Linked DNA regions of Arabidopsis thaliana. The protein of the gene in region 1 interacts with the protein of each later gene in a biochemical or structural test. Each region holds a gene or a part of one and is shown in the gene's direction. Other genes may lie near its edges.

Evidence for each region.
Region 2: the proteins of SERPIN1 (region 1) and RD21A form a complex in vitro, tested with the Arabidopsis thaliana proteins (one study listed by BioGRID).

The regions. Positions count from the first base shown.
Region 1 is NC_003070.9:17,555,561-17,560,857, forward strand, and holds SERPIN1 (Serine protease inhibitor (SERPIN) family protein), read left to right. Parts: upstream 1-1,530; 5' UTR 1,531-1,563; coding exon 1,564-1,601; intron 1,602-2,576; exon of another isoform or gene 2,577-2,667; coding exon 2,668-3,100; intron 3,101-3,715; coding exon 3,716-4,501; 3' UTR 4,502-4,765; downstream 4,766-5,297. UniProt on the Arabidopsis thaliana protein: Inhibits metacaspase-9 (MC9) cysteine protease. Functions through cleavage of its reactive center loop and covalent binding to MC9. Involved in the control of elicitor-stimulated programmed cell death (PCD).
Region 2 is NC_003070.9:17,282,249-17,287,658, reverse strand, and holds RD21A (Granulin repeat cysteine protease family protein), read left to right. Parts: upstream 1-1,909; 5' UTR 1,910-2,049; coding exon 2,050-2,524; intron 2,525-3,065; coding exon 3,066-3,301; intron 3,302-3,399; coding exon 3,400-3,540; intron 3,541-3,887; coding exon 3,888-4,337; intron 4,338-4,433; coding exon 4,434-4,520; 3' UTR 4,521-4,910; downstream 4,911-5,410.

The DNA.
Region 1 (5,297 bases):
TATAACTATTTGTAAAATATATAAATTATAAAGACTAAAATGAAATATAAGAAAGATTTTAAGGGTATTTGAGGTTGTACTATTCACACCCTAAAAAAATAAAGGGTTGAGGGCTTGTTAGAGTTCAAAAAGCCCTCAAATTTAAGGATTTGAGGTGTTGTTGAAGGGTTGCACACGCTTCTCTTCCTTCATTCTCAGTAGGTTACCGTCCTTGGAACCAATGCCTAAGATTTGCCCTTGCGGTCTGGCCTTAGTCTAAAGACTTATAAACTGTTTGATTTCATTTTGAATTTACTAAACACAATCGAACTAAACAAATAAAACGTACTATTTTTTAAAAATATTTTAGTTACATCTTTATATTTAAAATAATTTAATCATTTTATGTAAGTATAATAAAACAAACAAAAAAATGTATAATATAACAAAATTATTCTTTATTGTACTCACTTAAAAACGTTTAACTAAAATAGAAATGATTCAGAAACGAAAACAAAAATCAAACCAAATGCAAAAGTAAACCGTATTTTCTTTCGATTTTAGTGTCCCGTATATAAAACCAATAAAATTAGAAACCTGAACCAAACCGTAAACTTGATTGCCCCTCAATATAAGGACAAGGATTAGTCGAGTTATGTAAACATAAAAGATTTGTGTCAGAAAAACTACAGTATAAATTCTATAAATTAATACTCTATAAATTAATAACTTTTATAAATTAATAAATTCTTTCGGTCCCGAGTTAGGACCAGTGTAAAATGTGACACAAATCGATAAATTAATAAAATAATAATTTTTTTGAAAGTCCTATGTAAATATATGGTCTCATCAATATCATAAATTAATAATTGTATAAATATATATATAATTGTATATATATATATATATATATATATATTATAGAAAAAAATTCTTTATAATATTTTTTTGCTTAAATTCATATTTGTTCTTTGTTTGACTATAGTTTTCATATTTTACTGTATCAAAATTTTTGGTGTTATTTTCTAAACATTATTATTATGTTTTACTTGTAACTGATTTTAGAAAGATATTTTCTACAAAGAAAGAAATCTTATAGAAATTTTTTAAAAATTTACCAAATTAGGAAAATCTCTTTATATATTTATTATTAATTTATCGATAAATTAATACCTCTCTAAATTAATAAAATTTTGCAGTCCCAACATTATTAATTTATAGAGGTTTTATTTAGTTAGTGTCATAATATCAAATGCTAAAAATATATATAGCATCTTGAGAAGAAAACCATCTTATTTCTTAATTAGAAAAGACCATTTCTAAATTATTATTTTAGTTTAGTCTCTATTTAGTTTTTGTTATCACAGACTTGAGAATTAAAATTCATAAAAAGATGTGTAGATGGTCTGGTCGAAGACATGGTTTATAATAATCGATTGCTTCCACCGAGAGATAAACACAACAAGTCATCGATAAGCAAAGCACATATTCACACTTTTTTTTAATTCATATACATTCAAGTTCATTATAGGCTTACACATCATTTCAAAAGATTTTGTCAATTCATCTTTTTTCCTCTTGCCGATGTGCCACCTTCTTCGCTTGGCGCTTCGACGTGTGCGGTGAGCGTATTTTCTTACACATATTATATTACACTAAAATGTCAATAATCGCGAATGTTTGCGGCAGTTGAGATGAACAAATTAGATTAGTTTTAATTTATAATTCACAAACTATATTTATAAATTATAATGAGAGTACAATAAAAATAATTGAAATTATCGTAACTAAATATAAACGGTTTTTACATATAAGTAAAGTTGGTTTACGGCAGTTTATAATTCACACAAAAAATAAAGCGAACTAAATTGCTAACTAATTTGTCCATTCTAACAATATCACCAGTCAAACTTAATATTTGATAGGTTTTGACAATCTAATAAAAACCGTGAATAAAAAAGAGTAATCTAAATTTATTTTATATTAAGACTGCAAGTTTTGTGGATTAAGTCAGCATATTTTTTCTATATTTTTATAACGATTTATGAAGAAAATTGAAAATAACATTTTTGAAAAATCAATGATAAACATTTTATATCAGTTTTACTATGTAATGAAGGTTTAGTTTTTTTAAAAAAACATCTGTATCAGTTCTTTTTCAAAGGCGAAATTTAAAAACAAAAAATATTTGGGAAAACTAAATTTAAAGGATATCTACAAAACAAAATTGTCCATCTATTTATTTTTCTTGTAAATTAGTCAAATGTAGGTTTTTCAAAAAAAAATTAAGTCTTATTTACCCTTATTTTATTTTATAATTAAAAAAAATTATAATTTTCTAATTTATTTATACAAAAAAAATAGTAATTTTAAGTAAAATTTTAAGAATCTAAATCCTCTAAATGTATAAGAGTTTTTCAAAACCCTATTTTTTGTCTCTCTTTCTTCTTTACTCGGTTTAAAAAAAAAACATTCAGCTCTATAAAAAAAATTCATAACGAAATAGTCATAACGAAATTTTTTCATATGCCACCAGATAGTCAAATACCATTGACCGACGTGCTAGAAGAAAAAAAATAAAAAAATTTGACCGACATGTCATTTATAATCTTTGTATTTAATTATTATTATATAATTTTAAGATATTTCTCTAAAATAAATATATCAATCGTCTTCTCCTAAACCCAGCAAATTCGTTTACCAGTCATCACCACCACAACCTCCGGCGAAAATGGACGTGCGTGAATCAATCTCACTGCAAAACCAAGTCTCCATGAATCTCGCAAAACACGTAATCACCACCGTCTCTCAAAACTCCAACGTCATCTTCTCACCGGCTTCAATCAACGTCGTACTCAGTATAATCGCCGCTGGATCCGCCGGCGCTACCAAAGATCAGATCCTCTCGTTTCTCAAATTCTCTTCCACTGATCAACTTAATTCATTCTCTTCCGAAATCGTCTCCGCTGTTCTCGCTGACGGTAGTGCTAACGGTGGTCCTAAGCTCTCGGTGGCTAATGGCGCCTGGATCGATAAGTCTCTCTCCTTTAAACCTTCCTTTAAACAGCTCTTGGAAGATTCGTATAAAGCTGCTTCGAATCAAGCTGATTTTCAATCGAAGGTGAGTTTTCTGATTTGATTACTTGGTTCTGTGATCTAGACTTAGTTCTTCAGGTACAGAGGAACTTTGTGTGGATTGTAATAGAATCACTCTTAGGCCAAAATGTGGAATTTTTGTTTCTGAATTTTACACTTGAGGATCTGTATATGATCGTATTAGGGTGGCTTGTGATTTGATTCTACAGAAATCTTGCTCTCGAATTCGTTTTATTGATTGCAATATGATTACTACATTTTGATTCTGCTTCCTAGGGTGTTGTAAATACTAACTTTGTGTGGATTTTAGTAGACACAATCAAAGGCCAAAATGTGGATTTGTTGTTTTCATTATGTTACCCTGAGGATCTGTATAGGTTCATTGTTTCTTATGGATCTTTTGGTTTTGTGTGAAATTTGAGTGGCTTGTGATGTGATTACTACGTTTTGATTCTGTGGCTGTGTCTAGGGTTTCTTATGCATCTTGGTTTGTGTGGAATTTTGAGTGGCTTGTGATTCGATGTACTGATAGGGTTAAGGTCGATTATTCTGTTTTGAAGGCTGTGGAAATGAGGTTTTTAAAAGGTTTGTGATTTGATGTACTGATTGGGTTTATGTTTGATAATTTTTGTTTTTGAAGGCTGTGGAGGTGATTGCTGAAGTGAATTCATGGGCTGAAAAGGAGACAAATGGTCTCATCACTGAGGTTCTTCCAGAAGGATCAGCTGATAGTATGACCAAACTGATATTTGCAAATGCATTGTACTTCAAGGGAACATGGAACGAGAAATTCGATGAGTCGTTAACACAAGAAGGCGAGTTTCACCTTCTTGACGGTAACAAAGTGACTGCACCATTCATGACCAGCAAGAAGAAACAATACGTAAGTGCTTACGATGGTTTCAAAGTTTTGGGACTTCCTTACTTACAAGGACAGGATAAGCGACAATTCTCCATGTACTTTTATCTTCCCGATGCAAACAACGGACTGTCTGATCTTCTGGACAAAATAGTTTCCACTCCTGGGTTCTTAGACAACCACATCCCACGCAGACAAGTTAAAGTCCGCGAATTCAAGATTCCAAAGTTTAAATTCTCTTTCGGGTTCGATGCTTCAAATGTTTTAAAAGGATTGGGACTGACTTCGCCTTTCAGCGGTGAAGAAGGTTTAACTGAGATGGTTGAATCTCCTGAGATGGGGAAGAATCTATGCGTATCGAACATTTTCCATAAAGCGTGTATCGAAGTGAATGAAGAAGGAACAGAAGCTGCAGCTGCATCAGCTGGAGTTATAAAGCTAAGAGGATTGCTTATGGAGGAAGATGAAATAGATTTTGTTGCAGACCATCCGTTTCTATTGGTGGTCACAGAGAACATAACAGGAGTGGTTCTGTTCATTGGCCAAGTTGTTGATCCGTTGCATTAATCTAAAGCTAATGTGGAAGTTTTTGGTTTTACTTAAAATAAATGAGTCATTGGTTTTGAGGACTCATCTTTATGTAACATCCTTTGTCTTGACTCTTTGATGTGTGTAAGAATAATAGTGATACATAACAGCTTTTCTTCTGTATTTGGATCACATGTACTGAACTGATAGACATACATACATGTGATGCATCTTAATGATTCACTGTATTGGGTCATTCATGGTTACATACACGTAAACCTCTGTCTACTAATTGAATTTTACTCGACCAATTCAGATTTATCTTACACTCTACTAACTTATTGGCAGCAAAAAAATAAATAAATGAAAAGAATCCATTAAATCCGTAGACATTAGCTTTTTTTTTCAACTCAACATTATTCTATTTGCCATTTCCTAAATATATTCATAACTTTAAAATGATTATAATAAATGAAAAAAGGTATTTTGGAATACCTTGATTGGTGTCACATATATGTATGTGATATATATACGCAGACATATATATATTTATGTGAACAAGACAGAGGTTTCGATTTGCATGCATTGCTATTCGATCCCTGATGGATAACCACTGAACCATGAATGACCAACCACCAAACCGGATGAATAGCTGCAGTCATCGCTGTTTCATCTGATATGTATCCACATAAAACGGATAACTTATATTATTTGTAACAAATATAGACATATTGATCCTATAAAGTTTTAAATTAAAAAAATACTTGCATAAATATGGACTTTTCTGCTAATCAGAGTTCTCTTATACTTTTTTTTTTTGTTTTTTTCATCTGTC
Region 2 (5,410 bases), 270 kb from region 1:
TTCCATCCAAAACTTTCTGTCCATGTAATCGTATTTCAACATGTCATGAAATTTTACCAATAACTAATGCGCAAATTTCACCGTCAGAAATTTTATCCCATCTCGCAATTCAACTTTAGATTGGAGAATTGAATTCGCTGGTTCTTCAGCATTGGTATCATATGATGAGTATATTCTACTTGATTGCAAAGTGTTTACCTTTTTGCGTCAATAGATTTTGATTGTTTTGTTTCTCATGGTGACTTGGAGCATGGAGGTGGGTAGGTGCGGTTCAAAGCATTAAAAAAAGAAAATTTACATGTAGTTTTGATATTCTTTTGTCTCGCACCGTATCGTCTCCATTCAAAGTATGTGTCTATGATTATTGAGTGTACATCTTATTATGATTCATTATAGAATGTAGTTCCCCTTAGGCTAGGAGCGTTAGTTGTGTCTCAATGTTTTTGGCCATATGTACACTAGCGTGTAATAAAGTTCTAAAATACTAATTAATGATTCGTTATTCAGTCATATTATACGTTTCACATTAATACTTTTTATTGAATGTATAAATTCCAATATCGTCATCAGTGTATCTCTACACGCAAAACTATTGTTGAGTTTTTTCTTTTCCAAAACTCTAAATTACAATATTATTTTTTTTATTTTGATAAGTATAATATTCGATGTCACTTGAATATAATAATTTTTATTAATTCTCTGACGAAAAAAAGAGAGCAAGTGTTCTATTGTCACAAGCTAACTCTTGAAAGCATTATATTAAAGAAGTTTGAGTAAAATGAATAAATTATAGAAAATATTTTGAGTCTTTTAATTTCGGAAGGAATCATAATAATAGAGACAACAATCTAATTTCATAATGGTAACTTGTAAGACTTTAGATTCTATATTATCAAAAACTCATAAGAATCTCGAGTTACATGTAACAATCCTATCCACGCGTCTTTTACAATACGTGAGAACACGCGCTCCTATTTGTGTGGACATTTTATTTTTGGCTTGCCAATTAGAGATCAGTGACGTCTCATCTCTTCCTACCCATATTGTCTAACCAATAATTGACCATCACATATTCACATTTATAGATTTCATCTTTACACTATTGTTTTTTTTTTCACTTATCAAAATATCTCAACCGACCCTGAAATTAATTAGGATTTTTAAATCGGATTTTGGCTCAAGTTTTTGTTTTTGAATATTTAAGAAAATAAATACAATTAAGTATAAGTTTAGAGATGATTTGTTCATTTATTTGAAGTTTTTGATTTTTTTTTTCTTATTAAAATGACAAAAAGAATGATTTGAGTTCTTTTCTTTTTTGGCTCAAGATTTATTTTGGCCCACTTTTCTTTTCAATATTATTAAGAAAACTTGACTCATAAATTTTTGTTGGGAAAAAGAGGAAATGAGAAAAGGGATAATAATAACAAACAAAAAAATGATTTGATGTTGGTTTGGGTTCCCTCTTTTTAGTTCAAATATAACATGAGTAATAGTGGTAAATGTACATTATTTGAAAAATTGTAAATAATGCACTATTTACTATTTATTATCTGATTTGCTACTCTTTTTTTTTTCAGTTTCAATTATAGTTCAACATGGAGTTATTTTTTTGTCAAACCCCATATGATATCTTATCTACAAAGAAGCCCATAAATCACTTATCTTCATTTATTTTAGATCCACTTATTTTTAATTCTTTTTTTCTGTTTTGATTCCGTTTCAACTTGTTGGATACATATAACTTTTATTGTTTCTCTATCGTATCAAAAAAATAATTTGGATTTTTCCTATCTTTTTTTTCTTCTAACATACGGATTTTTTCCTTTCCGAAATTGAACTTTCTAATAAAAAAATTCGGAACAAGTCACCATTATTTTAGAAAATTAAAAAGAGTGACGAACGAAAACATTAAAATAGAAAACTAACAATTATTACACTTATCTCATTTGGCTTTTATATATACCCCACCACCATCTCTTGTCCATCATACAATCGTCTTCTTCATCATTTTCTCTTCTTCTTCTCCAAGAAAACACTGAAGAAGAAATGGGGTTCCTTAAGCCAACCATGGCGATTCTTTTTCTAGCGATGGTCGCCGTTTCATCAGCCGTGGACATGTCAATCATCTCCTACGACGAGAAACATGGCGTCTCCACCACCGGTGGCCGTAGCGAAGCCGAGGTTATGAGTATCTACGAGGCATGGTTGGTGAAACACGGCAAGGCTCAGAGCCAGAACTCTCTTGTTGAGAAAGATCGACGGTTCGAGATCTTTAAAGACAATCTTCGTTTCGTCGATGAACATAACGAGAAGAATCTTAGTTATAGATTGGGTTTGACTCGTTTTGCGGATCTTACTAACGATGAGTATAGATCCAAGTATCTTGGAGCTAAGATGGAGAAGAAAGGTGAGAGAAGGACTAGCCTACGGTACGAGGCTCGTGTCGGTGATGAGCTACCGGAGTCTATTGACTGGAGGAAGAAAGGAGCCGTGGCTGAGGTCAAAGATCAGGGTGGTTGCGGTAAGTTTCTACTGGATCTAACCATCATTTTTAGTTACTCTTATCGTAGTATATCATTTTTTGATTCAATCATAAAGTTTTGAAACTTTTGGAAAATGACATATTTGCCCCTTCCGGAAATTATGGGTGTTAGTTAGCAAGACAAAACTCAATAAATGAAATTAATAGTACTAATAATTTAACAAATCATCATGTGTATAGGTCATTAGTCATTACTTAATTAGAGACGTTGACTTATAGTCTAGTTATTTTTGCTTGTGAGCTATAGTTGTTTTGTCCTAAGCATAAAAATAAGGTTTTACTTGGTTACAGGCTCACAGCATTTCAAATGTGTACATTTTGGTTATGAATTTCAGTTATAAGGTTTATGAATGAATCTGATTAACTATAACATTAAATTTCGTAGTCATGATTATGTTAGAAATTGCACATTATTTTAGTCCTCCTTACAGAACATTGATATTAGAATATATGTGTTCCTGTTTGATGTTAATGTTTTGTTGTAAGCTGATGTTGTTGACACTTATGATTGGTAATGAAGGGAGTTGTTGGGCGTTTTCAACCATTGGAGCAGTGGAGGGAATAAACCAGATCGTAACCGGAGACCTAATAACCTTGTCTGAACAAGAGTTGGTCGATTGTGACACTTCATACAACGAAGGTTGTAACGGAGGTCTTATGGACTATGCTTTTGAGTTCATTATCAAGAATGGTGGAATCGATACAGACAAAGATTATCCTTACAAGGGTGTTGATGGAACTTGTGACCAGATCAGGGTAAGTACATTGGTTTTTGTTTTGACAAGGAATTACATTTGATTATTAACACAACTTATGATTCTTATATCAATCCTCTTGTGGGTTTCTTGTTACAGAAAAACGCTAAAGTTGTCACTATCGATTCATATGAGGATGTTCCAACTTACAGCGAGGAATCGTTGAAGAAAGCAGTTGCTCATCAACCCATTAGCATTGCCATTGAGGCTGGTGGTCGTGCGTTCCAGCTCTATGATTCGGTACAAATTTAACCATCTTCTCATAGTTCTTAGGTGTTTGTTAGTTTTTATGCATATAAATCCATTTCACTTCTGTTGTTAATTGTATACGCCAATTACAAACGAAAGGAGAAACTCTGTTTGGTGTTTGCGTTTACACTTTACAAAAGAATTCTATGAAAAATTGAAAAAAATGTTGCTAGTGTTTGAAAATGTAAAGTTTTATTCATATATAAACGCATGAAACAATTGCATCTAATAGGTGGTTGAATATTAAGTAGCTTTTCACTATTTTTGGTCTCAAAATGTTCATATTGTTGTTAGTCACCTTTGTCTCTAATGTGTTGATGTGATCTTTTCATCTGAAGGGTATATTTGATGGAAGTTGTGGAACACAACTAGACCACGGAGTTGTGGCGGTTGGATACGGAACTGAGAACGGCAAAGATTACTGGATTGTGAGAAACTCATGGGGTAAAAGCTGGGGAGAGAGTGGATACCTAAGGATGGCGCGTAACATTGCGTCTTCATCAGGAAAATGTGGAATCGCGATTGAACCTTCATACCCGATAAAGAATGGCGAAAACCCGCCAAACCCGGGACCTTCACCTCCATCTCCCATCAAGCCTCCAACCCAATGTGACAGTTACTACACTTGTCCTGAGAGCAACACTTGTTGTTGTCTGTTTGAGTATGGCAAGTATTGCTTTGCTTGGGGATGTTGCCCACTAGAAGCAGCCACTTGCTGTGATGACAACTATAGTTGCTGCCCTCACGAGTACCCGGTTTGTGACCTTGATCAAGGAACCTGTTTATTGGTAAGTTCTAATTCTTCCACTTTCAGTAACAAATATCAAGATGGTAAATAATGCTTGAATCTCACCTGACCTTGTTTGGGAATGTATCATTTGCAGAGCAAGAACAGTCCATTTAGTGTTAAGGCCTTAAAGCGTAAACCCGCAACGCCATTCTGGTCACAAGGCAGAAAGAACATTGCCTAAACATTGCTTCTTCAAGAGGACTCTGGCTCATGAGAGAAGAGATCTCTCTGAAGGGATTTATCAGATGCTTTTTAATGTTGTTGTTTATGCCATAACTAGATACATAAAAAATGCAGCTGTTGGGTTTCGTGTATATAAAAAAAGGACCCTATGTTTCATTCAGTTTCATAGTTGGGTTTCATTGATACAGTACATTTATTGTTAATTCAAGAAAATTGAATATTTATGGCTATGTTATGGTCCTATGGAAGTTTTACACCTTTGCTTCTATGAGGCCTAACGAAATCATCTTTGCTTTAACACAATTCTTTTTCAACTTCTTTTGCATTAATTTAGCTCTGCTAGTAGGAAGCCTAACGAAGTCATCCCGCCTAAAATTTTGATTTTCTTTTGCACTTTAACAAATCAATTTTTAAATTTTATGTTTAATTTTGAAATTTCTTTCAATTGACTAAAATGTGTGATAAATTTTAAAACTAGTGATGGCTACATATAATGGATCAATTATGGGATCGACACGTTAAAGTCTGTGCTTTTGTGGAGATAGGAACATCTCACAGTATTCACAAATTCATGTACTTTTACCTATTGTTGTTTTACAGTTTTACCCTTTACAACTTTCCAAAAATATTTTCAGTTTTTTTTTTCTTTTTCTTGTACCACTGTTGAAGCATCGTCTACAACCTATCCCATTAATAATTTTAAATCAAACGCAATAAGCATCGTCTACAACCTATCCCATTAATAATTTTAAATCAAACGCAATAGGAGAGATACACGTCTCTGATTAATATGCATTCGTTTCTTGCATTGGTTTTCTCTCCGTAATCAGCTCAAATTCATCGGAAAGCCGGTGAATTTTGTCGCCGTCTCTTTCTTACACGACCTCC